Linked DNA regions of Medicago truncatula. Each later gene encodes a partner of the first gene's protein in a complex. Links are inferred from orthologs where the notes say so. Each region holds a gene or a part of one and is shown in the gene's direction. Other genes may lie near its edges. The genes, in order: photosynthetic NDH subunit of lumenal location 4, chloroplastic; photosynthetic NDH subunit of subcomplex B 4, chloroplastic; photosynthetic NDH subunit of lumenal location 2, chloroplastic; photosynthetic NDH subunit of lumenal location 5, chloroplastic.

Region 1 (6,860 bases):
TGGATTACCTTGTAATCTAGGAAAGTTTTTTAGATCAACATAGATTTATGGCTTAATTATATAAATGGTCTTTTAAATAATTATGAAATTTTAATTTGGTCCTCTTATTAATTTTCACCCCAATTTAATCCTTTAAATTACCTCCGTCTATCAATTGAATCCATTCTGATAAATCTTGTGGAAAAAACGTTAACATTCATCGTGTTCATCATCAAACCCAACAACATTCATCATCTTCATCAATAAACCCAGCAACATTCATCACCTTCATCATCAAAACTCAAAAAAAAAAAATTTAACTATGCAAATCCTGAAGAACGAATTCCAAAACAAATTCATGAACGTTTTTGGTACAAATCAAGACTAATTCATCAAAATCAAAACGAACTCCAATCAATCGCGTTCTTCTTCTTCGTTCTTCAAAAATTGAGATCTGGGTTACAATGAACAAGTGAATTTGCCTAAAAAGTGTTACCACTGGTCAAGCAATCCTATTTAAGTAACTTCAGAGAGAAAAATTATATTGTATCTCATTATTAAAGTACATAGCTCATTATTCAAGTTCGGTATTTAGCCAACTTGAATTAATCAGTTAGAAGGATTCCTTCCTCCCATTAAATACCTTTCAAAATGTACTGATCATTAACCTTTGCATAATCAAACGAATATTTAGAAGGATTCATTGCACATTTATTTCACTTCAGTAAATAAATTCAAATGGACTCGTTCAATTTGACTTGTTACTAAATCATTTAACCCAAAAATTATCTCTGGACCCTAAATATCACTCTAGCAACTTGGAAGACAACAAGAACGTGCTAAGCAGAAAATATGAATTGATAAACAAGATAATGTCAAGAAAATCTGTAAAGACTAAATCCACAAATTGTTTTATTGAAGAACTATTTAAGCAACATAGTGTAGTTGGATAATAGTGTGAATTAACTACAAATTCAAAGTTTCACTTCATGAGACAAAGAAGTGCAGCACAAACTAAAAAGAACTAAGGAACCGTGTGAATTAGCTACATTAGATGGACAACAGTGTAAACTTATTAACTACAAATTTCATAGAGATTCACTTCAGCAGAGAAAGAACTAAACCGCAATCTTCATCATCATCATCGAAGCATCGCACTCACAGGCCATGGTGATCTTCAATCTCAACCATTGGCTTGACCTGAGGCATGGGAGACACACCTGCTGCAGTAGTGACATCAGCAGCACAACCACCACGTCCATCAGGAGCAGAGCAGGTTTCTTCCGTGGCCTGACCAGCAGAATCTGATACAGTAGCAGCTCTGGCTCCGACACCCGCTCCTTCCGATGCTCCTTCACCTCCTAAGATAGTATCATAAGCAGCCGCAATAGGATTGATATGCGGAAAAGGCAAATACACGCTGTGCACAACAATCTTCACATTGCGGATGACGTCAGCAACCTTAACTCTCACATAGTTAATCCTCATCGGCGCTGATGTCACTCCTCCGCCGGAAGTAGTGATCAGAAGCGGCTGACCTCGCTCCAATGTAGGCAGAGCAGTTCCAACCGGAAGCTTCTCAAGATCGGCGATTGACAAGTAATGATTCGGTATGATATGGAATCGCACATTGCTGATATACGATTGAGAACCGGAGAATATAGAAAGATCATCAACAGCGAAAATAGTCATGTTGTTGAGAGTTATGAGCTCTGCGTATTTTACCTTCATAGCAAGGGAGAGGATGCTGAAACCGTTATTACGGAGCCTTACCATTGCATCTCGTAGCATGAGGCGCATAATAGCAGGGAGCACGGTGGCGCCGGGAGTGTGAACATGAGCACCGGAACGGTGATCAGGATGAAACGGAAAGGAGAGAGAACTCATTCTCTCAACGTCGCAAGAAAACGGAGAAAGCTTAGAGGCGAAACCTTGAAGGCCGTGAACAACAACCATTCCGTTGTTGAATAGATCCGGTTGAGTAATCTCAACGCCTCCGATGAAGACTTTTGGAGCACTGCCGGAAGTGTTGTTCTGATGAATCGACTCGGAAGTGACGGTTACGCAACGGCCGGGACTGAGAGTCTCAATCTTGGTGCCAAAAGCAAGTCGCCGAAGATATTCGATGGTGAATATACCTGGAACTATGTGTTCACGAAGGAGATTCGGAACAGAGCAAGAAAAGCAAGTGCGAAGCGATGCATCAGAGGGAGCGAAAATGGTGAAAGGACCGGTCCAAGCAGGGGAAGTGGTGGTTGCAGCGTCGGAGAGCGACGGAGCGGCGGTTGCAAGCTCGTGAAAACCGAGATGAGACAAGATCGGTGGAAGTAATGCAGTTTGAGAGAAGAACGAATGTTCTTGAAGATCGTGCGGAGGTGGCGGTGGGAATGAAGCTTCGATTCCTTCAGTGGCGGTGACCTCGTCACCGGAAAGCATGGCGGTGAAGAAGATTGCGAAGAAGAGCATAGAGAATCGCATAGAGGAAAAGGTTGAAGAGTTTTCCATGGTGGTTAAGAAGATTCAGAGGTTTCAAGTCTCAAGAGAGTGAATTCGAGTGTGAATTGAATCGAATGAAGATGAATTGCAGGGTGAAGTATTTATATACGCGCGCGCGGGGAAATTAAACGGTTAGAAGAGAGTATTGTAAGCGTGTGAGTTTGTTACGCGGTTGTTATAGATTTAAACGTTTTTGAATCTTAAGAGATGTAAGCATGCGAAAGATATTCATATCTTACTATTTTATTTTTACCTATTAAAATGAAACGAGAAAAATTGAAGCTCTTTTTTTTAAGGAGAAAAATTAAGCTATTTTTTTTATGGAAAAAACTAAGCTCTTATCTACTCTATTTTTTTATTTATATATTAATATCAATATTATCTTAAATGCTTTTTATAAGTGTTTGTGGACCTAAATAAACAATAAACTTTTTATAAGTGTTTAAATGCTGCTGAGTGTCTGAGATTATATTCGAACACATGACTTTAGTTAAGTTAGAAAAGACTCGTATAATCTCATCTAAACATTTTTTAGCATATATTTTTAGTCATATATCAATATGTGTAACTAATTTTTTTAATTTACACACGTGTCTATATTTTTTTCATATATCAATAAGGAGCCTTCTAAAGCCTACAAATACTATAAACAAATTTAACTTAAATGTCTTTTTTAACAATTTCAATAAGTTATATTGCTCTTATTTGACAAGTTATATCTCATTTGAAAATCATTCTCTAATATTATGCGAAGTTGAAAGAGATTGAGTTTGGGTTAAGTAACAATGACATGTTTTTCTTATTATACATTGTAGTTTAGTTTAATTTGGTTGATAAAATAAAATCCGCATGCTAAACTAAACTATATGGTTGAGTCAAAAAATTGTCCAATATTCGAAGCAAATAGAGTTTTTTATGATTTTCAATTTATATTGGTTTTGGAGATAAGGTGGAAAGAGAAAGGTAAAATTATACTTTTAATCCCTTAACTTAATTTCGAATGATAGTTTGATCTTTTATCTTTTTTTTCATTTCAATTTTGTCATTTTAAGTCATTTGCATATGGATTTTCAAGTTTCAAAAATTCATATTTTTATTTTCTTATGACCTCTCAATTTTCAAATATATGGTGTTTTGCATATGAATATTAGATTTGAAGTTTGAAAAATTCATATGCAAAGAACAAAAATGACAAAATTGAAATGAAAAAAATAAATTAAATGCCAAATTGTTATGTTAAATTAAGTTAAGGGACTAAAATGTAATTTTGTCTCTATAAACTTGCAGATTTTTTTTTTGAGTGATGAAACTTCCCAGAAATTTTTTATTTGTGTTTTTGAGCTGATATATATTGATTATTATAGATTAATTTGAGCCACATGGTGTAGAAAGGATGGTATGCCAAATGGAGTTACTCATATCATCAGTCTTTGATATATCCTTAGAGAACTATACACACACACACTAAGATAGAAAATGGCACTCTCATTCTCACTCTGTTCAGGCACAACCGTTCATAACCGTTTTCCTTCTTGTATGAAATTGAATGGTAAAAGTTATAAAGTATCCGATAAAGTGTTATGTTCTGCACGTAACGGTAACGAAAAGAAGCCGTTAGTGGGAATTGGTATTGGAATTGTAGCAGCATGGGTAATGGGGTTAACAGCGTTGGATGCAGATGCAACGAGAATTGAATACTATGCTACTGTGGGAGAACCAATGTGTGAGCTTAATTATGTTAAATCTGGGCTTGGTTACTGTGATTATGTTGAGGGTTTTGGTGATGAAGCTCCTTTAGGAGAGCTTATTGATGTAAGCTGTTTATTACTCTTTTACTCATTTTCTATATGCAAAAATTTAATTAGTTAATTAACGATTGATATTGTTATTATTATACATTGCAGATTCACTATACAGCTAGGTTCGCCGATGGAATAGTATTTGATAGTAGTTATAAACGTGCTAGGCCTTTAACTATGCGTATTGGTGTTGGCAAGGTGGATAAGTTTTTCTTACAGTTAAATTGATTTGGCTATGTATTTTTTATGAGTTTGTAATTATAAGGTTCAATGGGATTTTCAGGTAATAAGGGGATTGGATCAGGGAATTTTAGGGGGTGAAGGAGTACCTCCAATGCGGATAGGTATTAAATTTAATTTGAAGTGTTTAAGTTTCATTGTTCATAGTATATGACACTTTCTAAATTTATTTACTATTTTTACTTAGGTGGGAAACGCAAACTCACGATTCCTCCATTGTTAGCGTATGGTCCTGAACCTGCAGGCTGTTTCTCAGGTCTCATTCATTATTAATTATTACTGTGTTATTATGTAATTTGCTACTAAACATGGATAACTACTTTAATCAAACCTGAAACTCAAAAATCTAGTAGACACGTGGATGAAGAAATGAATCATTAATTGTGTATTTGGTCATATGCATTGCGCGTATGTGCCCCGGTATATTTTCTACCACTGTAAAAAAAGTAGCTACAGTGCTATGGAATTTAAATAAATTGCTATTGGTTCGTGATACGCTGTTTAGAACAAAGTGATGTCAAATAGTAGCTATGAAACTCTGTAACTTAATAGAGTTTGAACAAACTGCTATATTCCACGATCTACACTTGAAAACACTTTTTTCTACTTACACAGCTGAATTTGTTTTTGTGTGCTTGTCTGTGTGTTTTTCTCAATGGAAAGGAGTATAAGACCATGGATTTTATTAGGCTGGGAAGATATTGAATGCAATCTTATTATTATCAGAAGAAGAGAATCATTATCATTAAATATGTTAGATTTTGACAGTTTTGTCGCTGATTCAATAGGTGACTGCAATATACCGGGTAATGCAACTCTTCTGTATGATATTAAATTTGTTGGTCTTTATTCGGGCAATCGAAGTCAATGAAGACAAAATTGATCGAATACGTATACGTATATGAACCGCACGTGGATTAGGTGAGTTTCCTGATCTTTTGAGAATATTTTATTCTTAGATTAGATAGACAAATACTACCCAGCACTCAGATTGTTTTATCCAGCTTACTTTCTGTTTGCTCTCCAGCTAAACATGTTTGTTTACTTTTCACATTATCATAATTGTAAGAAAATGCTTCCAATATTGACCATGATCAGGAAGCTTTTATGCATATCTAGGTATATGCAGAACCTTCATGAGAAAACACAGTATGCAACATTAAAATTAGCTGTCACACATGATCATGGTTAAAGCATATGCTACTTAAAATTTTGACACAGGGTCCTTTGTGACCATTTTTCTTGTGCAATATACAAAATGATGTTTGAACTCAGATGCAAACTAGTTAAATTCATCATTATTAACCTTATCCCAGTGGCTTGACTTATTCATCAAATTTACAACACTATACTGTTTGACGACCGAGTGATATTTAAGATGAATGAGGTTTTGTTTACTCCCTCCGTCCATATATGTAAGCACCTTTTGCCTCTAATAAAAGGGTGCTTACATATAGGGACGGAGGGAGTATAATCTAATCGATCTTTTATAAAGTTGCGTCAGATAATCTACTCAGATAAAAGTAGACTTGCATATTTATAAACTAAAACATTTTTCTATGGAATAATAAAATGCCTTTAAAACTATAATGATATGCTGGTATCCATGCATTCTCTGATCTTGATTATCTAAAAATAGGGATAATCATTATTTTTAATAATTTTTTTGACTGGTTATTTTTAATTGTTTTAGAGTAATGAAATGGACTTTTTTTGCTGGTGAGTGTGGATCGACTTGTTAGGCAGATTCTCCTTCCTGGTTCCAGCTCTCTCAAATTACTATTCCTGTTTAGTGCAGTCCGACATGATTCACCTGAATAGAATACCCCTTTTAAGAGTAAAGAGGATCCAACCCTGGTGCGGTGATATATATTAGACATGTCTGGTAACATGATGCAACTTTTTGTATCTTTATTGTAAATGTAATTTTCAATAGTACACTCTGAATGATGAATTAATTAATTCTTTATATGATAAATGTTATCCCCTATTACTTGTATCTTTAATCCATTTGATCTTTTTCCTCTATGTGCTGTCTGCAATGAAATGCCAAAGATGAATCATGATTTTGGATGGTTAACAAATGAATAGTTAAAATGTACAATTTCTTGGCAGCTATGTTGACTTGATCAACCATTCTTTGGGTTTATCATTAGAAATATGTTCCTAATGATATCCTAAATTGTATGCAAAATTTCTTTAGAGTATTGTTCAACTTGGTAGGCAAAATTCTGGTGAATCCTCTAAACTATACCGCTCAAGAACAATTCTGTTGAATCCTCTAGTCTGCACTGCCCTGAGTTACATGTGCCTTTACACTTTGTTAGGATCTGGGAAAGGAATAGG
Region 2 (7,534 bases), on another chromosome or scaffold:
AGAAAAAAAATGGTTTTAAATGCTCTTGTTAAGTTTTGTTCAAAAAAAAAAATGCTCTTGTTAAGTATTGATACATTCTCCAATATCATAAATGCAAAGTGGAATATATTAAATTATGAGTGATAAAAGTAATATTAATTAGAGTTATATTTAAAAAAAAAGTAATTCATATGTTGTTTGAAAAGTGAAATGGGTCAATATTTTTAGAGTTGTGCTAAGCAGTGCCCTAAGAAAAATGGTTAAAGAATCCATTAGTAGAAGTTTTGTCTTGGAGATGCAAGTTTTTACTTTTATCTTGGTAATAATTACAAAGTTATTTATTTTAGTACTTTAACCAATGCCCCAAGTACACTAGTTAACATTCTCCATTTTTTTCAATTTTCGCGAGACACACATAATGGACGAAACCCACGTAATAGACGAAACACACGAGACAGGTTTTCTTGGCGAGACTTGCGTGCAAGTTATCATCCCTGTCAACATTATCATTATCTGCATGCAATAAATAAATTGAGGGTCTTGTATATAAATACTGCTGAAGCCAATCATAATTGATACTCACCTCTTTCTTTGAACCTTACCGCTCCCATGGATTCAATTATTAACCATAAGAATGAGAATGAGAATAGCAAGCCTCTTCATGTTGCAATGCTCCCTTGGCTAGCTATGGGACACATATACCCTTATTTTGAATTGGCCAAAATTCTTGCTCAAAAGGGTCACACTGTCACCTTAATAACCTCTCCTAAAAACATTGATCAAATTCCCAAAACACCAAAAGCAATTCAGCCATTCATCAATTTGGTAAAATTACCCTTACCCCACATAGAACAACTAGAAGGTGCAGAGAGCACTCAAAATGTTCCATTAAACAAGACTGGTTACCTTAAGTTGGCTTATGACGGTCTCCAAGTCGATGTTACTGAGATACTCAAAACATCAAAGTCTGATTGGGTTTTCTATGATTGTGTAGCTGATTGGTTACCGTCGATAGCCAAAAGCCTGAATATTCCTTGTGCCCATTACAGCATTGTTCCAGCTTGGAACATATGTTTCTTTAATCCACCAAAGGATCAAATCAACATAGACAGGTATAGCCCACCAAAGTGGGTTCCTTTCGAAACAACCATTCATTGAAGGTGAAAAACACAAGAAAGGGGGGTTGAATTGTGTTTTCTTTTTCTCTTAAAAAATACTTCTTCTGATAAAACTTCAGAAGCAGTTTGAGTGCTTCTGATGAAATGATCAGAGTCAGATTGCAGCGGAAAAGAACAGAGCAGAGAAAAGAAAGACAAAGACACAAGCAGTTATCCTGGTTCCTTCCACAACACGGAAGTAGTCCAGTCCCCCTTGCACTTCCAAGGAGATTTCACTATAATCACAAAGATTACAACTGCTCAATACTTTCTAAGTATGAGACTTCACAAAAATGCTCAAGCACACACGCAAGAGTCTTCCAATGCTCAAGCACTAAGCAAGAGACTTCTAATGCTCAAGCACGCAGGCAAGAGACTTCTAATCAAACAAAAATACAGAGGATTGAGTTTGACTTGAACACTTGATATACAATCAGTGGTGTTCACAATACAATACAGTAAAGACTCTAGACTTTGAATTTCTAAGATGTATCAAATCAGTGCAGAAATTCAGTGTGCTTTGTAGAATCAAATTGACAGAGTTTTGGCGCTTTTGAACTTATGTATCTCTATTTTATCTTCAAGTCTTCACTCCTTTATATAGAGGTGTGAAAGAGACGTTGAGATAATCAGCACGTCTAAAGAGTCGTTTGAAATCCTTTGATCATCCACCAGTAATCCTTTGCCTGATTTGGGTGTAGTCCTTTGAAGAATAAGCTTTAAATTCATTCCCATCTTGAACGTACAACTTCTGCAGGCATGGCTGTTGTCTTGTCTTGTAGCGTAGACAGAAAACAGAGTAGTGGAGGTAGTGGTTGTACACTTGTACTTTGTCAACTCTATTAACGAGAGACAAGTGCTCAGTGCTATCCATATATCCGTTGATACCTCCCTTTCAAGTCTTCGTTCTTCTTGGATAAGACTGAATTGAGAATCAGCTACTTTGAATCTTCAGTTTGATTAAAGGATCAAACGTAGCTTCTGGTGAAGATATTGCTTCTGATGAAAACTTTTGCTTCTGATGACGTCATTACTTCAGAAGCACTTCAGCTTCAGGAGCAGTTTTCTTCAGATGCTCAGAATTTCTTTTTCTTTTCATTGTTCTTCCAAGACCTATTGAAATAACTTGAGTAGCCTTTGGTCCTGTACACTTGAACAATTATTAGTAATAACCAATTGACAATTTTTAATACCTTGTTATCATCAAAACTTAATAAGGTTCATTGTGAAACACATTTTGTTCCAACATTCATGTCAAACCTTATGAGATGAAGAGAATAATTTCATCTGTCGACAACAATTCTGGAAAAATATTGGCTCGTTGTAATCTAGACAAAGTATAATCAGATTGTGACATTTTTCTTATCAGAAGCTGTAAAGAACTTGAAGGTGAATGGTTAGATTATATTTCTAGCCAATATAAGGTTCGTGTGGTTCCAGTTGGATTGCTTCCACCATCCATGCAGATAAGAGAAGACGAAAGGAAGAAAACAACCTTGATTGGATGAAAATCAAGGCATGGTTGGATTCAAAAGAATCGTCTTCTGTTGTTTACATTGGATTTGGGAGCGAGACGAAAATAAGTCAACAAGATCTAATTGAGTTAGCTCATGGAATTGAGCTTTCTAGGTTGCCTTTCTTTTGGGCTTTGAAAAATCTTAAAGAGGGTACACTTGAATTACCTAAAGAATTTGAGGAAAGAACAAAAGAACGTGGAATTGTTTGGAAAACATGGGCACCACAACTTAAGATCTTAGCACATGGATCAATCGGTGGATGTATGAGTCACTGTGGTTCAGGTTCAGTCATTGAGAAGCTTCATTTTGGGCATGCTCTTGTGACATTGCCTTATTTAATTGACCAATGTTTGTTCTCAAGAGTACTAGAAGAAAAGAAAGTGGCTATTGAGGTACCAAGGAGTGAGAAAGACGGGTCCTTTACTAGGGACTCAGTAGCCAAAACATTGAGGTTGGTAATAATGGATGAGGAAGGAAGTACGTACAGAAACAATGCCAAAGATATGGGAAAGGTTTTCAGTTCAAAAGATCTTCACAATCAATACATTGAAGATTTTATTGTTGCTCTTCAAAAGTATAGAGTTCATTCCAATGATTAAGCTTATCAGAAATGCCAGCAACACACACTTTCTAACATACTCTTTTTGATTGGTCAAAATTCACACAAGACCCACTAAATTTATATGGGATCCACATGATTTGGTGGAACCCATGTGAATTTTAACCAATCAAAGAGAGTGTGTTAGAAAGTGTGTGTTGTTAGCATTTCTCTTAAGTTTATTTTCATGCGTTTCCCTTCTAGTTGTCTTTTTTATTTATCTTATTGCAATAATAGTCCATGAGATGTTGATGTCAATTCATCTCCAAGAGTTTGACTTTGTAATTTCATGAGATAAAGTTCAAATAGTCTCTTGTTAAATCATCGTTGTTACCACCATTAATAATTAATAAAAAATTATCTTTTCGCCATAATTTTTAAAATTTCAAAAGATAGTTACAAAAAGTTTCATTTTGTTACTTCGAAAACCTTCTTTAAAAGAAATTAGTTGTTTGCTGGCTTCTTGCTTTTTCTATTTCACATCAGAATAGGTTAATTTGAGTTTATAATAAATTTCCGTTGCCGAAGAAAAAGGGTGGTTAATGTGTCTTTATAATAAAGAAATGTCTTGTACAAATTCTCATATACACTTGATATCTACCGTGGATACGGTACTCTACTTATCACTTTATTATTTGGTAAATGTTTTGGTACACTTGTTTAATCCGTTCATCAGTTCTCTCATCTATGAATCCTAGAAGTACATCAGAATACACTCCATCTCGATAGTTCTATAAACGGGAAGTCTTATCTAGTCTACCTTACCAAGGATGAAAGAAGTGTATTTTTTATTTAACTCCGTGAAGTTACTAATGTTTTCCTAATTACCGTAATCGTTATCTTAGTTACTTCCTGATTCGGGTAGGTTTTCACCAATATTAGGTTTGTCACCTTCCTAAGTACCGTTATTTTAGGGTCGATTCACATTCAGAAAAACTAAATGAGGTTGCACCTAGTGTTAGGTTTGTGTTTTGATGATGTTTATTAGGCTAGCTAGATTCTAGTTTCTTTTGATGATGTTTTATTGATCATATTAGTTAATGATTAGAATATGTTAAAGCACCTAGCAATCCTTGCTCCACTGTGTCATATGTGTCTTATATGTTATGTTTCTTGTTGTGTGGTAAAAATTCTTTTTTTTGTGTGGCAAAACCATTTTTCTAAGCCTTTGATTCGATTCAAAATAGTTTGAATCGTATCATTTTTCTCTCTGACCATGACTTCTTAATGATATATTATAAATAGGCAGCATAGGATGAAGGTATCTTGTCTTTCAAACTCACCTATCTCTTGGCGTAAAAAAAAAAAAAAAACTTATATTTAAAGTTGTGAACAAGTTTTGACCCGAAATTGAAAGGATTGTATGTATAAATGAGGACACGTAGGTCATTTTGATTAATCATTTTATAAAATACATGCTCAAATCCAATTTGTTGGAAGCATGCACATACTTGAAGGGTGGTTCTTCATTCTACTCTTATCCACTCTATCCCATATTATATCATAAGGACCATAATTTCAACCCCTTTTCACTTGCACTTTTGGTTCAAAACCATGGCAGAAGCTATCATTGGTTTCACCGTTTTCAATTCATATATTCATAGCTCATGTCTTCAAACAAAACGATTTTCAAGATTGGTAAAGTTGTGTTTATTATTTTCATTCCATTTTATCTCTTTAGATTCACTTGATAGTTCCAAAGCTCTGAAAAATGAAGGTTTATATCTTTCTTTTTTTGCAGCCTAGGCACCCTTCAAATTCTACCCTCTTTCACAGGTCATTGCAGGTACTTAAAATTAAGTTATTGAAGAAATATTAGAAATAGAAAATTATGAAATTTGTCTCTAAATCTTTATTAAGTATTAGAGTAGAAAAATTAGTGATTAATTTCATTTTATCCATCTTTAATTTCCATGGATAACTACCGAGTCTGGATAGCGCAATTGGATTGAATTTTCAAAGGACTAGAAGAAGTTTAAGTGTTGGAGTTCAAACTTTGGACTTTGGAAAAAGAGAAAGTAGTAACAACTACTAACTAATATAGTAATATTTGTCTATAAAAAAAAATTCATTTGAATAAAATACAAGTTTTCTGCAAGATTTTATGGGTGTAGCAAAACTATTTTCAGTTTATATTATAATGGTCCTTTGTATTTGTTTATAAGGTGTTAGATGGAAAGATAAAAAGAGCATCTATGTGCAAAGTGAATGGTTTACCAGATATTCCACTGATGGCAATTCTAGTAGAACAATTGGAAGGACAAAGAGATCTTATAACCGAGAAAACAATTTGGCATCTTAGTGATCAGCAAATAAAGAATGTTTGTAAGTGTTACATAAAATCCGGTTACATTTATAAGCAAAAAAACGACTTTTAAGATTCATTGAATACCTAATGTATATGGTCTATATATAGGTCAGATACATTAAATATTCAATGAATCTAAAAAATTGTATTTTGTTTATAAATGCGACCAGAAGAAGTATATTATTAAGTTTTGTTGTTTCTCTTATGATTTTAAATTTGATGGTTTATTGGTACCTTTTAATCCTTTGTAGACGCTTGGTACATAATGTTCACTGTTTGGGGAGTCTTATTCTTTGGTTCCATGAAGGTAAAACACTTTTCCTTGTATTTATGTGTATAGATATAGATTAATTTGTTAGTGTATGATTGTGAAATGAAATTTTTAACTTGTTTAACATGATTTAGGACCCATATTACGATTCAGAAACATATAGGGGAGATGGAGGAGATGGTACTGGAAACTGGATATATGAGAAGGTAATTATTTCTTTTTCATGACTTTGTTATTGATGTAATACTAGAAGCCTCAAATAGGGGAGCACAAATCAAACCTTGTAGATAGACTAGAGTAAGAGGAGTGTTATGAACGGCCTCATTTAACGGTCTCTCTGACATTTACTCTGTTATCGGATGAAATTCACATGGATACTACCTACACTTTAATAATGAATTTTGTGTAAAGTAGTAAGACATGCATGAATTTCTTTCATTAAAAAAGTGAGTGTTAGAGAAGGTATTAAAAAGAAAGTGTTGTTAGCATTTTTTGTAGAGTAAAGTTAGTAACACATCAGTGGCCCAATAGCATGGCAAAGATGTTAATTCATATTTTAAATTGAGTTGTTAAATAAAACATTTTAATTGATCCATAAAAAAATAACATTTTAATTGAGTAAACAATCATTTTGGTTTATTAACATGTGAGATGATGTCAAAATAGTTTTTAAATCTATCGAAATTACAAACAAATTTTTAAAGGTCATGTTAACAAGTGTCCAAAATGTATATGATAAGGTCAACAACATCGTAACAAGAATTCTAGCTCAATATACAAAAATATCCAAATCGTTTGATCAAACACCGAAACCGCAACTCTCTTACTTAATAATTGTTCCACATCCATGAAAGAAATCTTGCATTTTAAATTGTGTTATTTTTTATGGTTATGCAGCAAGAGGTCATGGAAGCAGAGGCAAGAGAAGCTCTATGGCGCGAGGAGTTGATTGAGGAAATAGAACAAAAAGTTGGAGGGTTGAGAGAAATTGAAGAAGCAGCAAAGAAGGAAGAGGAACTTGTTAAATGATTTTCTACAATAATGCATGCATTTTACTCCATCAATTAACCAAGTGATACCTCATTATTATGTATATACATACACAAGAATAAATTCTTCTGCTTCAAAATTCAAATGTACTGTTATTAAACTACGGTTTATTTCTTTGAATATGATGTCACAATATAGCCTTGTCTATCCATCAGCAGCTAGAAACAAAAAGCAAAAGAAACAAACAAATAGACAAATTTCGTCAAAAAGCACAAGTAGTGAGCACATACAAACTCGTTTAAAAAAGGGTGTAATAAAAAACAATCACAAATATTGTGATTAGAGGATTAGACAGGTTTGATACTGCATAATTGTTGTTATGTCTGATTTGACTCTTTGTTTTATGTTGCTAAAGGAAAGCCTTATGCTTCCTTTCTTTCTAATGTGTAAACAGGTTCAGGCCTTAATCATGGTTTGTAATTTATTTTTATTGCTTTGATAAAAAAAATAAATTCTAAGGTATCTTGAAGTTTAGGCAAAGTTTGTGTAACCTTTTAAGTTATTTTAAAATAAGTTAATATGAAAAAATATAACATGACATTGAATTATCAGATGAGGGAACATACTCTACCAAATTACATGGACACCATGTAAATTTTGTTATGAATTAATTAGATTCCTCCCTAAATTCCTCGAGCTTCCAAGCTTGAATTT
Region 3 (7,098 bases), on another chromosome or scaffold:
CACAAAACAGGCATTAACAACAACAATTCAGATCATTCTAGCAATCATACAAAACCTCTCCAATTTTCCCAACCAATTCTAATCTCCCTCAAATTCTGATCACAGCAACATTATAGATTAAGAAATCATTCTGAACATGAAAACTAAACACATTAAACATGATTCTTACACCATTCCTTTCAAAATCAGCATCAACCCTAATTCCCAATTTTTATTTTCAAGAACAATTCAATTAGATCAATTTTCAGAAATTATATATTATGATTATTGAGAGATAGTCTCACCCTTACCTTAATTCAGAAAATCGCACAACACACGGATGATCTTGGCTCTACTTGTTCTTGGTTCTTCTCTCCCAAAACTTGTTTTACGTATAAAACGTTTTCTGACTTCTCTTTTTCTTAACTCCCAAAACTTAACTCCCCTTTATTTCATTAAACTCCCCTTAATTCTATTAATTCTTAATTAACTCCCCACACTCCAAAATAACTCTATTTCTCATATTATTCTAATTATATTAAAATAAATCATATAATAAAATAATACACACCACCTAAAATCACAAATATTATTTAAAATCACATAAAAGACTCTAAATAATTCCAAATTAAATAAAATAACGACTATGGCGTTACATAGAGTTCTTTTAGCAAAATTTGGAGAGATTGGTTGTATGTTTCCTCTGGATGAGGAAGAGGGATCAGTTTGGTGGAGTAATTTAATTAATATTAGTCAGGGTGGTGGAGCAGGAGTGGGAAGTTTGATAGGTGATAATTCTGTGCGTGAGGCAGGTGACCGAACTTCAATTTTGTTTTGGTGGGATCCTTAGTTGAGAGGATGGGTTTTGAAAGATAGGTTCAACCGCCTTTTTGAGGATTTTGATATAAAATGACAACTGTGTTTGAGATGAGGCATCTAGGATGGGGAGAGACTTTGGAGTGTACATAAAATAAAATACAATCAATAATGATTATAGTTTTTTAATAGCAGCAAATCGTAACACATTGCAAATGATAATCATGTATTTTGGCATCGAGATGTTCCTTTGAAAGTTAACTTCTTTGTGTTGCGTCTTCTTCGCAACCGCCTCCCAACAAAACTACTGCTCGTATCTTGTGTGGGAAATTATGGTAATATGGACGACGCGACTCATATTTTTCTTCGTTATGACTAATTCCGTCATGTTTGGATCACTACTTATGATTGGTTAGGCCTCGTCATAGTAGTTCCACACCATATCTCGAAACACCTGACACAATTTAGTGTTTTGGGTGGATTATCGAAATCCAAATGTAATCTTATTTTGATATTTCTCTATTTGAATTATTTGGAAAGAACGAAATAAAAAAAATATTAAAGAATAAAGACGATACTATTTGCCATCTGCTTAACAAAATTAAGGCATATTCTTATGGATGGCTAAAGGTACATCAACTTGACAAAAAGATCATACTATTCACATCAACTTTACTTTTAGTTACCACATGTGGTATATCAACCCTTTATTATGGTTGTAATTTCCTTACCCTTGCTTTTGGTGTTTGTAACCGTTTTATGATGTAATTTCATTCTTCTCTTTGTTTCTCTCTAACATTCCTTGTATAGAGAAAGTAAAGTTGGTTGATAATAAAATTCCATTTTTGAATTTTTTTTTTAAAAAAAAAAAGAAGAATTTGAGAGAGGAAACATGAATTGACTAACTAATCAATACAATAAATAGATATTTCTTATGTCCCTAAACATAAACACTTGCTTAGCAAAAAAAATGTCTTAAATATAAAAAAAAAAAAATCAAATTAAAAGACATGTATAATGCTTCTTTTCCAAATTTCATAATTAACATCAAGTGTTTTGAAACGTAAAAGTCAAAATTAAATAGTATATACATATTTAATGTATATTTTAGATACATATAATTAGAGTTGTCAAATGGGCCGGCCCGACCCAGCCCGACTCGGGCCCGAGAGGTCCGACTATATAAATGGGTCAGCCCGGCCCGACCCGTTTATGATTGGGCAGTGAATTCTAGAGTCCGGCCCGGCCTGGCCCGTTTATGTTTTATTTTTAAAATTTATTCATTTTTTTTTATGTATTTTCTTATGTATTAGTTACTCACCATTATTTTTTTGCTAAAATATGATTGGATGGACATAAAAATATAAATAATTTTTACATTAACATTGAATAATAATTAAACTCTAGATTATTCTTTCAATTAAATCAAATTAATAATTTATAAACTTTAAAATTTTAAAACTGTAAGCTAAATTCATCCATATTTATTAAGTTTATTTATTTAAATATTTTTTTTGTTAATAAATTTTAAATTAGTTGATAATTTTTTTAAAAAATATGTTGTTTTTTAACAAAAATAAAATGAAATATGGGCTAATGGGCCGGCCCAAAGCCCGATGTGCCAGCCCGGCCTGGCCCAACTTTTGTACGGCCCAAATGGGCTTGGGCTGAAAAAGCCTGAGTGCATTTTTTGTTAGTTTTTTAGGCCCGACCCGACCCAAAAATATGGGCCAATGGGTCGGCCCATGAGCCCGACCCATTTTTGACAGCTCTACATATAATTGACATATCAACTAAGTTACCAAATTTCTTCTTTATAAAAATGAAAATTGCATTTAGAGGCTAAGGTATTTAAAAACGATATTCATGTATTGTGATGGTTAATGATAGTGATTTTTTTTTTTTTTTTTTTAAGTAGATTAATGGCTAGAATTCACATTTTTCAAAGTGAATAAGTAGGGCGTCCGGGGTTCCGCTACTAGAAAACAACAGGATATCTACATCAGTGGTCAAATACCTGATGTGAAATGCAACACGGTGGCATTTTCACATCGGCTGAGAAATTAGCTGAGGGGAGAGATCATTATTGAAGAGTGTTTACATCGGTGGAACTATATACCTGAAGGGAAAAATGAAACACGATGGCAGTTTTGTAATATTGATGAAGTTTATCTTTAATTATAATTGGGTGTTTTCCATCGGTGGTCAAAAACCTGAGGGGAAAACACGTTTACACATACGCTTCACTACAAAGAACTCACATGTGTGAAATCTCTCTCTCTTCCCGTATCACATTTCACATTTTTCTCACTTATACAACCTCTGCATATAACAATGCATGTTTCTGCCAAACTGAACTATGCTCACGAGGACTAATAGTGAAAATTCTATGAACCTGCAAATGGATCAAAGCCACTACCATACATATATAAGAGTTAATTAAGTTTTTGGTCCCTATGAATATCTGCAGTTTTGTTTTTAGTCCCTATAAAAACAAATCACATTTTTCAGTCCATACAAAATTTTCCGTTAGTGTTTTTAATCCTTGTTAAATTAAAATTTGTTTAATTATGCTTAAACTTCTAAATTTTTGAAAGATTTTTTATAGACATGTTCATAACATCGTAAGACACTCATAAAATCGATTAGGTTTTTAACATGTATGAATTAAATATGAATTTTTCTAAAAGCCAAATTTTCAAGATTATATTAATGAAAATTTGGACCAAATAATAAAATTTTGAGTTACTTTTTTGCGGAGGAACTTTGTATAATGTTCTAAATAAGTATGTAAAAAATATGTTAAAAATTTAAAAGTTTAAGCATAATTAAGCAAATTTTAATTTTACAAGGACTAAAAGTATGTGTTGGTCCCTGTTAAATTAAAATTTGTTTAATTATACTTAAACTTTTTTATTTTTAAATGATTTTTAACAGACATGTTAAGAACATTATAATAATATATTTTATAAAAAATTAGAATTTTTTAACATGTAATGAATTAAATATAATTTTTTAAAATGCCAAAAATTAAAGATAAAACTAACAAAAATTTAGACCTAAAAATAAAATTTTGACCTAACTTATTGCAGCGGAACGTTTTATGATGTTTTAAACAAGTATGTAAAAAATTATTAAAAAATTTAAAATTTTAAACATAATTAAACAAATTTTAATTTAACAGGAACTAAAAACATTAATGGAAAACTTTGTAAAGACCAAAAAATATAATTTATTTTTACAGAGATTAAAAAAACTGCAGATGTTTATAAGACTAAAAACTTAATTGATCCAATATTTAATTTACATTTTTTTCACCAAAAAGAAAATGCTTAAATCTTCCAACAATGATTGACTTGGAGTTTTCTCAACTCAAATGGATAATAAAGTTTCCACGTGGCATAATCTCAAGGCATAAGTGTATAAACCGGGCAACACGGTCAGCCAATAAAAACCTGCCCAAAAATTTCCATAGTCCAAATACACCATTCAAAATTCACACCATACCTAAATCCTTCATACACCAAAAATATCCACACACAAAAAATACCATGTCCAGCTTCACTCATGCCACTACACTACTCCATGCTCACATCAAAACCAAACACAAAAACACTTCAAACAACATCAACAACAACGTTAACAACTCTTTATCTTCTAAACAAAATGTAACAAATAGAAGAAATTTAGTTTCAACATTTCTAGCAACATCAATGGTTGGAGTAGTACATGTTACAACAACACCACTAGCACTAGCACAGAATTGGGGCACACGTTCTTTTATGAAAGAACATTTTTTTATGCCAGGATTGTCCCCTGAAGATGCAGTTTTAAGGATAAAACAAACAGCTGAAGGGTTACATAATCTTAGGGAAATGTTGGAAACTTTGTCTTGGAGGTATGTTATGTTTTATATAAGATTGAAACAGAATTATCTTGAACAGGATTTGAGAAATGCTATCACTACTTTGCCTGAAAATCGTCGCAAGGAGTATGTTAAAACTGCTAATGAGTTGGTTGATAATTTGACTGAGGTATGTATGATTAATTTTTAGTGGTGTTTTGTTAATTTGATGAATGAATTGAATAAGTCTATGAATAGATATACAACTTCTGCTATACTGATGTGTGCTTTAAAAGGCTTAATAGCAGTTTTCGCCACCTAACTTTCATGAGTTGCGATTTTGGCCCCCTAAGAAAAAGCCTATATAACTGCCCCTAAGTTTTGCAACCGTAGAAGTTTCTGGTCCCCCAAGGCCAATTTTTGGTAAAAAAAAAAAAATAGCACGTGACACCTCACTTAGGGTGCCACGTCAACGTAGACTGAGTCAAAATTGGTCTTGGGGGTCAAAACTGCCAGAGATGCAAAACTTAGGGAGTGATTTTGTAGTTTTTTTTTCTTAGAGGGCCAAAATTACAACTTTGAAAAAATTAGGGGTTAAAACTACTATTAAACCTTTTTAAAATTATAGTCATAAAATAAGATAATTTAGCCTTTGAAATTGATGAAATTCCAAAATATTTTGAAAATTAAAATTTCATTTCGTCCAAATTAGCTCATCTGATTCAAATTTTCAATTTCATGATTAATTTTAAAAAATTCAACTAATCGACTCAAATTGTCAATTTCATGGATTAATTTGAGTGATGAAACATGAATTTGACATGTTTGTATAAATTAGCTATCCTAAGAAACAAATATATAAATTAGTTTTACATTATCATGCACTATGAACTCTATTTTTCCATGTTGCATAGTTAATTTTAGGTTTAAATGCTATTTTGATCTTTTTATTTTGGCCAAACCATAATTTTGGTCTGTCGTTTTTAATTCCGTGATTTTGGTCCCCATTTCTGAAATTTTGACCAACTTATAATTTAACCATCCAAAATTTAATGATACCATGACACTAAATTGTTTACTCTCAATCCCTTGTACCATCTCAATTGATCTTCTTTTTCCTCTATATATTTGATCACCACTTAATTTAACATCATTTTTTTAAGACTCTCAAGAGATAGGCATTTGTTTTCATGTCAGATCACCATCTAACTTATTATACCTCATTAAGTTGGATGGTCGAAATGATGGGTTGGTCAAATTTTTAAAACGATGGATCAAAATTGTTCTATTAGAAAAAGGGGATGAGGGATGAATAGCTTGCTTGGTTGAACTAAGGTATTAAATGTGTTAAGATGTAAGGGTGAAAGATCTAGGTTTGAATCTTGAGCAAATGAGAAAGTACGAAAATAACAACTAACAAGCTAACATTTGCCATAAAAAAATTGGGGACTAAAATTACGGTTCGATCAAAATGTGATTTAAACTTAATTTTAAAATACAATTACAACAATGAAATGATATCATAAAACAATGGTTTTTAATGGATGCTATCGGTATAAAAGTGGGTTACACTCATGGCTATCATCATTTTAATAAATGGAATATGCATTTAAAGATTAATTTTGTCATGCAAAAATCAACATTGTTATTATATGATAAATGTAATGAACTAATGATTGCTAATGTCTAGCATCTGATTTATGGTTCTTTTTTTCCATCTTCAGATGGATCGTTATGTTCGGACACCAAAGGTATATGAATCATACCTATACTACGAGAAGACATTGAAATCAATAGATGAACTTGTGGCTCAGTTAGCTTAGTGCAAAGTTGAAGCTGCAGGGTATTGGTATTTGGAATTCTAATTGTATAAAACACATCTTGACATTTAATTTTTTTGAATTTTGGATTTTCAATTGAACATATATAAAAGGTTTAGAATGTGCAACTTCAAGTATTTTAAATTGAACATTATTAAAAGTTTTAAATCGAGAATTTTGACGCTAATGACTATTTTACAAACATTGATGGGAAATCTGAATTTTATCCATTGAATTTGAACTTACAAAGTCAAACTTTCAAACCTCTTGTACTATTAAAAGAAATTTAAATTGTGTACACCAACAAAGTATCCAACACAAGCCTAAACAAGTTAGAGAAACACACTTTGGTACAAATGCACACAGACTATAGGGGAATACACACGATCACGATTTTCATAAGACTTTTTTTTTCCATCTTATGAGTTTCTCGTGCGTTCTATGCAGTTCGGAATATAGAATTCAAAAAGCATAAACACCTCATACAGACCTCCAAAAACACGTTGAAACATTTCAGATTCTATAATCTGAATAGAACACGCGATAAACTCATAGACCAAATCATCAGTTTCGAGAGATAGCTGATTGAGATAGGAGGATTATTATTATAAAGAGAGCAACGGCAATATAAGAGCCAAT
Region 4 (7,909 bases), on another chromosome or scaffold:
AAAGAAAGGGACTTTGAGCTGATTTAGTACGAAAATACGAAGATTCAGAGACAAAAATATGTCTCCCCCAAAGTCAGAAGTCTGGCATGGCCCGTGCTAGCATTGGCACGGCCATGCCACCCTCCAGAGTCACTTTTGCTGCTTTTGCTTAGATTTTAAGCTACTCTATTTTAGCCCGCAGTTTCTTGTGGAACATTCTAGTAATGTAATTGCTTAGATTTTAAGTCGAATGTATGCTATAAATAGAGTAGCTATCCATCACAAATATTCATCTTTTCTTGGAATTCAATAAGTGACGATTGTCTTTCTAATAAAAGTTCTTTTCTTTTCCTTTATTTTCTTGTCATTTACTTTTATGCTTTCTCTCTTCTTCCCCATGTCTACGATGAACATGAGTGAGTAGACTTCTCTTTGTCTTGGGATTGTTGGATAAGTCTAAATGACATAATCCTGATCAAGCCAAGCTCTAAGCCTTAATCTTATGTAACCCTAATTTCTTATCTAAATTCACCGTTTTAACATGGATCAACCATTATCAAACTGTGCAAACGAAAGGGTTTGATAATCGTTTATCCATTATCTCAAATATCAATTCATAAAACGAAAGTGGAGCTTTGATATTCGAACAAGTGAATTTAGACAAGGATTGCAAAGGCAGCGAAATAGTCTTTGCAATCTTTGAGACACATAGTTTCGATCTTCAAGGGAACTAATAACGATCAAGTCAGCGAAATAGGCTTGGTTGTTAGAGGAACCAAAATCTAAGAGTAATCAAGTCAGCGAAATAGGCTTGGTTGCTAGAGGAACAAAAGAGAAACTGTCTTGAGAAATTAGGTCTAACATAAAGTTATAAGCTTATAGTTTGGTTTGTGAAGGACTTGTTATTTAGATGAACCAATGATCCCAAGGCTCCTTTTATATTATTATCTTTCAATCGTTTGAAACCCCCAACTTACAACTCGTTTCTCCTCTAATCATCATCAAAGGTTAATTGAATTAAACTACTCCCTGTCGGAACGATACTCTTTTCATACTACTTCGGTAAGACCGTGCACTTGCGATTTTATCTCATCATCATGCAGCTTAATTAATATACAACAACAACATAGGCAGCACATAACATCTCAAGATATAACAATACCAAATAATAATCAACATCAACTTAAACATCTTATATAATTCACATAATGCATATACAACTACATCACATTACTAACAACATCAAATCATATTATATCAGAGTCACTGAACATCAGTAATATTATAATCAACCTTCATTCCTACCCCAAGGATCAACTCATAACATCTCGTGCGACAAAGATCGCAAAAACCTATACAAGGTTTTATGTCTCTCTGCAGCTCGCGAGGCGAGCCACTCTACTCGCTATGGCGAGTTCAGGAAAATGGCTACTCGCCTTGGCGAGTAAGCTACTCGCCTTAGCGAACTGAAACTGGGTGCTCTCGGGAACTTGACATTTTTCACCCAAAAATCTCATTTTTAACTTCCCCGTGTTCAATTTCAATCTAAAGACTTGCCTAATTATTATTATACATGTTCAGGCACTCAAAATCATCTAAAGCTCGACTAAAGGAGTTGAATCACAAAATCAGGTTTCCTCACTGGTCAACTCGCTATGGCGAGTGATCTGCTCGCTATGGCGAGTAACTAAGGGTCACTCGCGAGGCGAGCGATGAAGTTCATCACTCGTGTGGCGAGGATCATCCCTCGCCAGGGCGAGCGATGAATGTCAGCTCGGGCAGAATGCAGATTTTCACGAAAATGCATCAATTCACATGGTTCTAAGCTTAAAACTGATTCTAAACATCACACTATGAATTATTTGAGGTCTGTACACACTTTCTACATCAATTCTACAAGTTTCCATCATCTAATCCTCAATTATCACTCTTAACCCTAATTTCCAATTTTCAAAAACTAACCCTACAACATGTTAAATCTAATCATCAGAATTAAAGGCTTAAGAAGATTGAATGTTAGTCTCACTCTTACCTTAAGAAAATCGATCAGCAGCTCTCTCTTGGTTCTTCTCTCCTCTTGTTCTCCCTTTTCTCCAAAACTGGTTGTACGTGAAAACTTTTCTAAACCTATTTTCTCCTATTTATCTTTTCCCATCTATTTTATCTTATTTCCTCATTTTCCCACAAAACTCTCTAAATTCTCAAAACAACCCTTCATCTCAATATTTATTTTATTTTCAAATCTTATTCTATTAAATAATAAAATAAGCCACTTAATAAATCACAACACATCATATAATCATTTAAATCACATAAATCATCTAAATAAACTCTAAACTCTATAAAAATAATCAAATAATTAAAGAGGGCGTTACAAAGTGACAGCACCACTTTATGAGATCCTGCACGCGCTCCTAGACATATTTCAAAGAAGATCTGATCTAACAACATTCTGAAGTCGTGTAAAGCAAATCTTTAAGTACAACCCAGAAATTCATGAAGAACACAACAACATTCTGAAGTATTCTCAAGAACACAACAACATTCTGAAGTATTTTCAAGAACACAACAACATTCTGAAGTATTCTCAAGAACACAACAACATTCTGAAGTATTTCAGTTTGCCCAGAATTTCAAGTGAAAGTTGGTGGGTCCCAGGACACGTGGCATAAGACCATTGGTCACTCTCCAACGGCTACAAAGGCTCAAGAACTCTATAAATAGAGATCAAGACCTCAGCATAACACACACATTTGCAAAGCATACAAGAAAACAACATAAGAGTGTTTGAAGCTTTAGCAAAAACATTGATCATCACAAAGATTCCAAGAAGTCTTCAAAAGTGTAAATCAATATTTCTCTTATCTTTTTAAAGATAAATATCTCCCTCTATTCATCTCTTGTTTGATCTATATCATTCAAACTCCATACAAATTGTAAACAAAGTCTCATCTAGCTTTAGGGGTACTAAAGTGTTAGTTTGAGCAGAAAGGTGTAAAGTCTAAGTGGGTAACTTAGCAAGAAAGGTGTAAGTCTGCTGAGGCTAAGAGAATACAATTGTTGTAATTGTTCAGGTGAACAAGGTTGTAAGGTGCAGAATTTGAGAAGTTATCTCAAGCATCATAATGGAAAATCTCACAAAACTGTGAGGAGTGGACTAACCCACATTGGGGGAACCACTATAAATTTCTGTGTGTTCTTCTTCTCTTCTCTTTACTATTTACTTACAGTAAACACAACACACACAAACACATTTAATTATTTAAATTGTTTTTATACTAACACTTCAGAACGTTCTGAAGTCTGTCTGTTAACTTAACCATTCCAAGTTTTCAACTTGAGAATAACTTTTAAGTGACAGGTTTAATTTTAAAGGGTCACAATTCAAACCCCCCTTCCTTGTGACTATTTTATCTACTTCAAATTTATCTACCACTGCATTACCAACTATAGGAGGAGTCTCATCATCTTCAACTAAAAACCCATCATTCATGCCCATAGCTTTTTCCTCTTCACTATCATCCAATCTTACTCCAGCAGCTTCATCTTCACTACTTCCCATATAGTCATCAGAACCATCACCACTCATTTCTTCATCATCACATACACCATCAGCTTCATTCATTGTGCCTTATTCAACTACATGACCTTCTTGACCTCCAACTCCCCCTGACATGTCCAAGTCCATAGAACTCTGCCCCACATCCATAGAACTCTACCCCACATGTGAACCTACCATCCCTATAACTGAATGTTCAACATATAAATGAGCCACACGTTTGTTCTCAATAACATAATCACCAACAATATCAGTGTCATTATCATCAACAATCCTTTTGTATTTATCATCTTCAATAACATACCACCATAAATGATACTTAAGGTGATCATCATAACCTAACTCTTTTAGTATACCAGTCGCTTCGAAGTAACACCACCTATCCCTATCAATCCCATTACTACTACGTGTTCTTGACCCCCAGTGTAATACAAAATATAGTCCGTAACAAATTCACCCCCATGGTGAAATACAATTGACACACTCATCCCTGTCAAATTTTAGAAACATAAACTTTGTTAATAAACCTTCATCTTCGTCTCTACCAAAACCACATGCAACAACAACACAAAAACAAGTATAAAACAACATCAAACAACATATAACGACATCCATTCTACTCTTTTACATCATTATAAACTAGCATTCAAAGATTTTTTGATTCAAACAACAAACAAAAGATAAGAAGAAGAAAAAAATAAGAGGATAGGTTAGAATGTTCTACCTCAATCGCAAGCCAAAAACCGCTTCTTCTACCGTCGATCACCTTCAAAAACCTTCGCTAACTGTTGATTACACTTCGTTGCCGTGATTCACCGTCAACTCACCTTCGTCTCTGTTCTTACACCATGACTCTCTAACTTCTCTGAAACCCTATTTCACAAGGACGAAATGGAAAATGAGAGCATTTTTTTTCAATAAATAGGGGGGAAATCAAAAGACAGGATGACTCACCAACTCTTTTGACACGTAACCCTCCTTTTGTCAAGTCACACTAAGCCACGTATGTCTCCGCCTGCCACCTCGCCGTTTTTGTAACGGGAGTTAACGGGAAGAATCATTTGCAAAACGAAAAAAGCTTACAAGGAGAGTTTTGAAACAAAAAAAGATACATGGACGAATTGCAAAAATGCGCAAAATTACAGAGACGGTTTGCATATTTAAGCCACTGTATAAATGAAATATCGAATTTTGTTGTAGTTTATTTTTTCCCCCTTATTAACCTAATAAAATAATTAAATCAAATCAAATTTGATACATCTTAGTCTAAATTTTAATTAAATTAAATGCAATCTCTAGCAAATGAAATCTAAACCAATTCTATTTTAGTTTTAATTATAATGTGGTGGCCCCCACAAAAAATGGTGGTGAATCCATCCATGGGTTTGAGTTGAATAGATATAGATTGGTCGCATCCTCCCCAATTTTAACGCATGCGCGATATCCTTCCTTCCTTCTTCTTCGGTGTTTAACCAAACGATGGCTGCTGCTGCTGCATTCAATGTTACTACAACACCGCCACTTTTCTCACTGGTAATATATATTTTTTTTATTACTTGAATTTAAATTTAATTGGTGTTGAATTCATTTTTATTAAATGATTGATTTTCTTGGTTGGGTGGTCAGTCAAATGTTGTTGCTCTGAACCCTAACCCTAGAAGAAGTATTTCCGTCGGGGTGGTTAGGTCCCGAGGTGGGGGTGTGAAACTAGCAGTAGCAGTACGACGACAAGTGAAAGTGAGGGCAGTGGAAAGTGGTAGTAGTTCAGAGGAGAAAGTAATAGTACAGTCAAAAGTGACTCACAAAGTATTCTTTGATGTTAGTATTGGAAATCCAGTTGGGAAGCTGGTTGGAAGGATTGTGATAGGACTCTTTGGTGATGATGTCCCACAAACTGTTGAGAACTTCCGTGCCCTTTCCACCGGTGAGAAGGGCTTTGGCTACAAGTCCTCCACCTTCCATCGCGTCATCAAGGACTTCATGATTCAAGGAGGAGACTTTGATAAAGGAAATGTAAGTATCTCTCTATCGCTATCTCTGTAATGATTCTACTTAATTGGAATAAAAATGTAAATGAAATTTCATTGATTCACTCAATTAAGCATTACAACTTAGTAATTGGAATCTCTCATAGAGAGTAATAGGTAACAAAGGAATGTAATAAGAATAAGAAAAATAGAAGTGAGGGACTAGAGAATTAGAGAGAAGGAGAAGAAGTTACATCAATCATTTCATACTTATTTCCTTGGCTTTTCTCATATTTATAAGGGTCCATATTCCTATTTCCCATAATGCCCCTTCTAACTCTAAGACTCATTACATTACCATCCCCTTTAAAATCAACCTTGTCCTCAAGGTTGAAGCCAAGATAATAATGTTGAAGAGTAGTAGTACTAGTGACTTTCAAGTAACTGCTAAAGTCACATAAACCTTGCCCTCGAACAAGAGAACATCCACCCGGGTCCCATTGTTGGAATTGTTGAGACCCTTTGGTATAGAAAAAATAGCCATTAACATCTACTAGAACGCCGATCCGTGCGGCGCACGGGTCATATAGATTGTAGAAACCGACAATAATATAGAAATTTGTATAAGCCTTCATAGCAATAAGTCATTAGTACGGTAATAAAGATAGTGTATTACATCATTCATACAAATAAAAAGACTATAAATATGTTCAATCATACAAATGACATAAATTAAGAAAGATTACGAAAAACCTCTCTATAAACCACATTAGATGTTACACAATCGTCTTCACCATCGTCATTAGATATTAAAATCTTCAAACCTTCTCTTGAAGTAACTCTTGACAATGCCATGTTCAATTGACAATATGAATTAAGCTAATATAATTGACAAAATTTGAGTTCCCTGCCTTAAGTAAACTAATATAATTATATACTCTTAATATTGAGTCATGTATAGTTAACGTTATTTTCCACTATACACCAACAAACTACAAATTTCTTTGAGTATATTAGTCATGAAATATAGTGTAATTCAGGCTGGCTAGTATCTAATCTTCCTACACAAAGGTTTGCAATATGAATTAAGCATGTAGTACAATGCTGATGCATAAGTTTCGCTCTCTATATTAACCGGCCATTAACAAATAAGTGATGTATTCAGATTAGCTATCCAGACAAATAAGTAAATTTAACCTTAAAAAAAACTATACAGATTTAACAATCAGACTTACCAGGCGCACCAAGCACACGTCTTTGTTTGTGCAAATTGTCATCAATTAGATTAGGCGAAGTGCTATTCCAAACAACCTCTGGTCTGTACAGCTGATCAGAAACCGTCAATGCTGCAAAAAGTCTTCACAAGTAGGTGCCCGTACCCCACAAACTTGCCTCTATTATGGCGTCAATGAATTCTCTGTCATCGTCCAACAGTCCCATCGCAAAGCAAGTGTCTTTGAAACTAAAGTATTTGACGTTATCCACCGTTTTTATGTCTTCGAAAGATGTAGGACCCTTGACATAATTTAGTAGAGTTCTGAGATAAAACTTTTCACCTAAACCGGGTGGTGCAAAATGTTCTGAGATAAAACTTTACCACGCCACTGTTATTTACAATTTGTATGCACAATGTCACAAAAGAAAAAATACACATTAAGCTTCATTTGAGATTAGCTCCACCCTGAGTTTTGTAGCAACAATGGCACTTTCTTCTTTGTCTGCAATAGGGAAAAAATATTGAAGAATTAAAAATAGGAAAAGAGAATAAGCATAAGTGACCTATCAAAAAAAGAATAAACGTGACTTACTTACTTATATGAAAGATGCTCTGGAAAAATTAAATCATCATTCCTTTTGTCATAATAATTAAGTTAAACTAATCCTTTCAAAAGAAAAAGTTAACTAATAGAGCTTATATAGTTTTGGAAAAAAAAAAAGTTAAATGGAACACAATGGTCGGACCTCAAACTTATTTTCTTTCCATTATCTTCATAGTTGAATTTAAATACAACTAACCTAAGGGATCCCCATCATGTGAGTATCTTCTATAGAAGTGCCTACAATGTTAACAGATTGAAGGTGAGTGTTGTGTTACAATTACTTTTTTTTTTTGGAGTGTTGCAATTACTTAACCTAAGTTATTCAACAATTTGAGCCATTGTGCACCCTAAATTTCTCTTTATTTATTAGTACTAATAATTATTATTTATGCAATTAACCACACTAAAACTTTAGTCTTATTAAAAAATATCTAGCTTTACAATATGCGGCTATTTATGGAAAATGTTTCAGTCCAGGCAATGAATTATCAACAAACACCGTGAAAGACTTGAAAAAGTTGTACATTGCTTTTGAAAATGATATCAGAACATAACAATAGATCGTTTTTTTTAAGGAAACATAA

The links.
Region 2: photosynthetic NDH subunit of lumenal location 4, chloroplastic (region 1) and photosynthetic NDH subunit of subcomplex B 4, chloroplastic share a complex: the UniProt entries of both Arabidopsis thaliana proteins name them as parts of the chloroplast NDH complex. The link is inferred for Medicago truncatula from reciprocal best matches to the Arabidopsis thaliana genes PnsL4 and PnsB4.
Region 3: photosynthetic NDH subunit of lumenal location 4, chloroplastic (region 1) and photosynthetic NDH subunit of lumenal location 2, chloroplastic share a complex: the UniProt entries of both Arabidopsis thaliana proteins name them as parts of the chloroplast NDH complex. The link is inferred for Medicago truncatula from reciprocal best matches to the Arabidopsis thaliana genes PnsL4 and PnsL2.
Region 4: photosynthetic NDH subunit of lumenal location 4, chloroplastic (region 1) and photosynthetic NDH subunit of lumenal location 5, chloroplastic share a complex: the UniProt entries of both Arabidopsis thaliana proteins name them as parts of the chloroplast NDH complex. The link is inferred for Medicago truncatula from reciprocal best matches to the Arabidopsis thaliana genes PnsL4 and Pnsl5.

What each region holds. Positions count from the first base shown.
Region 1 is NC_053049.1:42,222,019-42,228,878, forward strand, and holds photosynthetic NDH subunit of lumenal location 4, chloroplastic, read left to right. Parts: upstream 1-3,859; 5' UTR 3,860-3,951; coding exon 3,952-4,287; intron 4,288-4,379; coding exon 4,380-4,472; intron 4,473-4,557; coding exon 4,558-4,618; intron 4,619-4,701; coding exon 4,702-4,770; intron 4,771-5,177; coding exon of another isoform or gene 5,178-5,185; exon of another isoform or gene 5,186-5,288; intron 5,289-5,302; coding exon 5,303-5,385; 3' UTR 5,386-5,435; intron 5,436-6,207; 3' UTR 6,208-6,520; downstream 6,521-6,860. UniProt on the Arabidopsis thaliana protein: NDH shuttles electrons from NAD(P)H:plastoquinone, via FMN and iron-sulfur (Fe-S) centers, to quinones in the photosynthetic chain and possibly in a chloroplast respiratory chain.
Region 2 is NC_053044.1:13,325,564-13,333,097, forward strand, and holds photosynthetic NDH subunit of subcomplex B 4, chloroplastic, read left to right. Parts: upstream 1-4,653; 5' UTR 4,654-4,805; coding exon 4,806-4,889; intron 4,890-4,992; coding exon 4,993-5,037; intron 5,038-5,416; coding exon 5,417-5,576; intron 5,577-5,810; coding exon 5,811-5,866; intron 5,867-5,964; coding exon 5,965-6,036; intron 6,037-6,727; coding exon 6,728-6,859; 3' UTR 6,860-7,029; downstream 7,030-7,534. UniProt on the Arabidopsis thaliana protein: NDH shuttles electrons from NAD(P)H:plastoquinone, via FMN and iron-sulfur (Fe-S) centers, to quinones in the photosynthetic chain and possibly in a chloroplast respiratory chain.
Region 3 is NC_053046.1:18,325,849-18,332,946, reverse strand, and holds photosynthetic NDH subunit of lumenal location 2, chloroplastic, read left to right. Parts: upstream 1-4,247; 5' UTR 4,248-4,346; coding exon 4,347-4,829; intron 4,830-6,363; coding exon 6,364-6,462; 3' UTR 6,463-6,596; downstream 6,597-7,098. Other genes in the region: casparian strip membrane protein 1, read right to left, coding at 7,024-7,098. UniProt on the Arabidopsis thaliana protein: NDH shuttles electrons from NAD(P)H:plastoquinone, via FMN and iron-sulfur (Fe-S) centers, to quinones in the photosynthetic chain and possibly in a chloroplast respiratory chain.
Region 4 is NC_053042.1:56,646,709-56,654,617, reverse strand, and holds the start of photosynthetic NDH subunit of lumenal location 5, chloroplastic, read left to right. Parts: upstream 1-4,906; 5' UTR 4,907-5,017; coding exon 5,018-5,071; intron 5,072-5,164; coding exon 5,165-5,551; intron 5,552-7,909. UniProt on the Arabidopsis thaliana protein: NDH shuttles electrons from NAD(P)H:plastoquinone, via FMN and iron-sulfur (Fe-S) centers, to quinones in the photosynthetic chain and possibly in a chloroplast respiratory chain.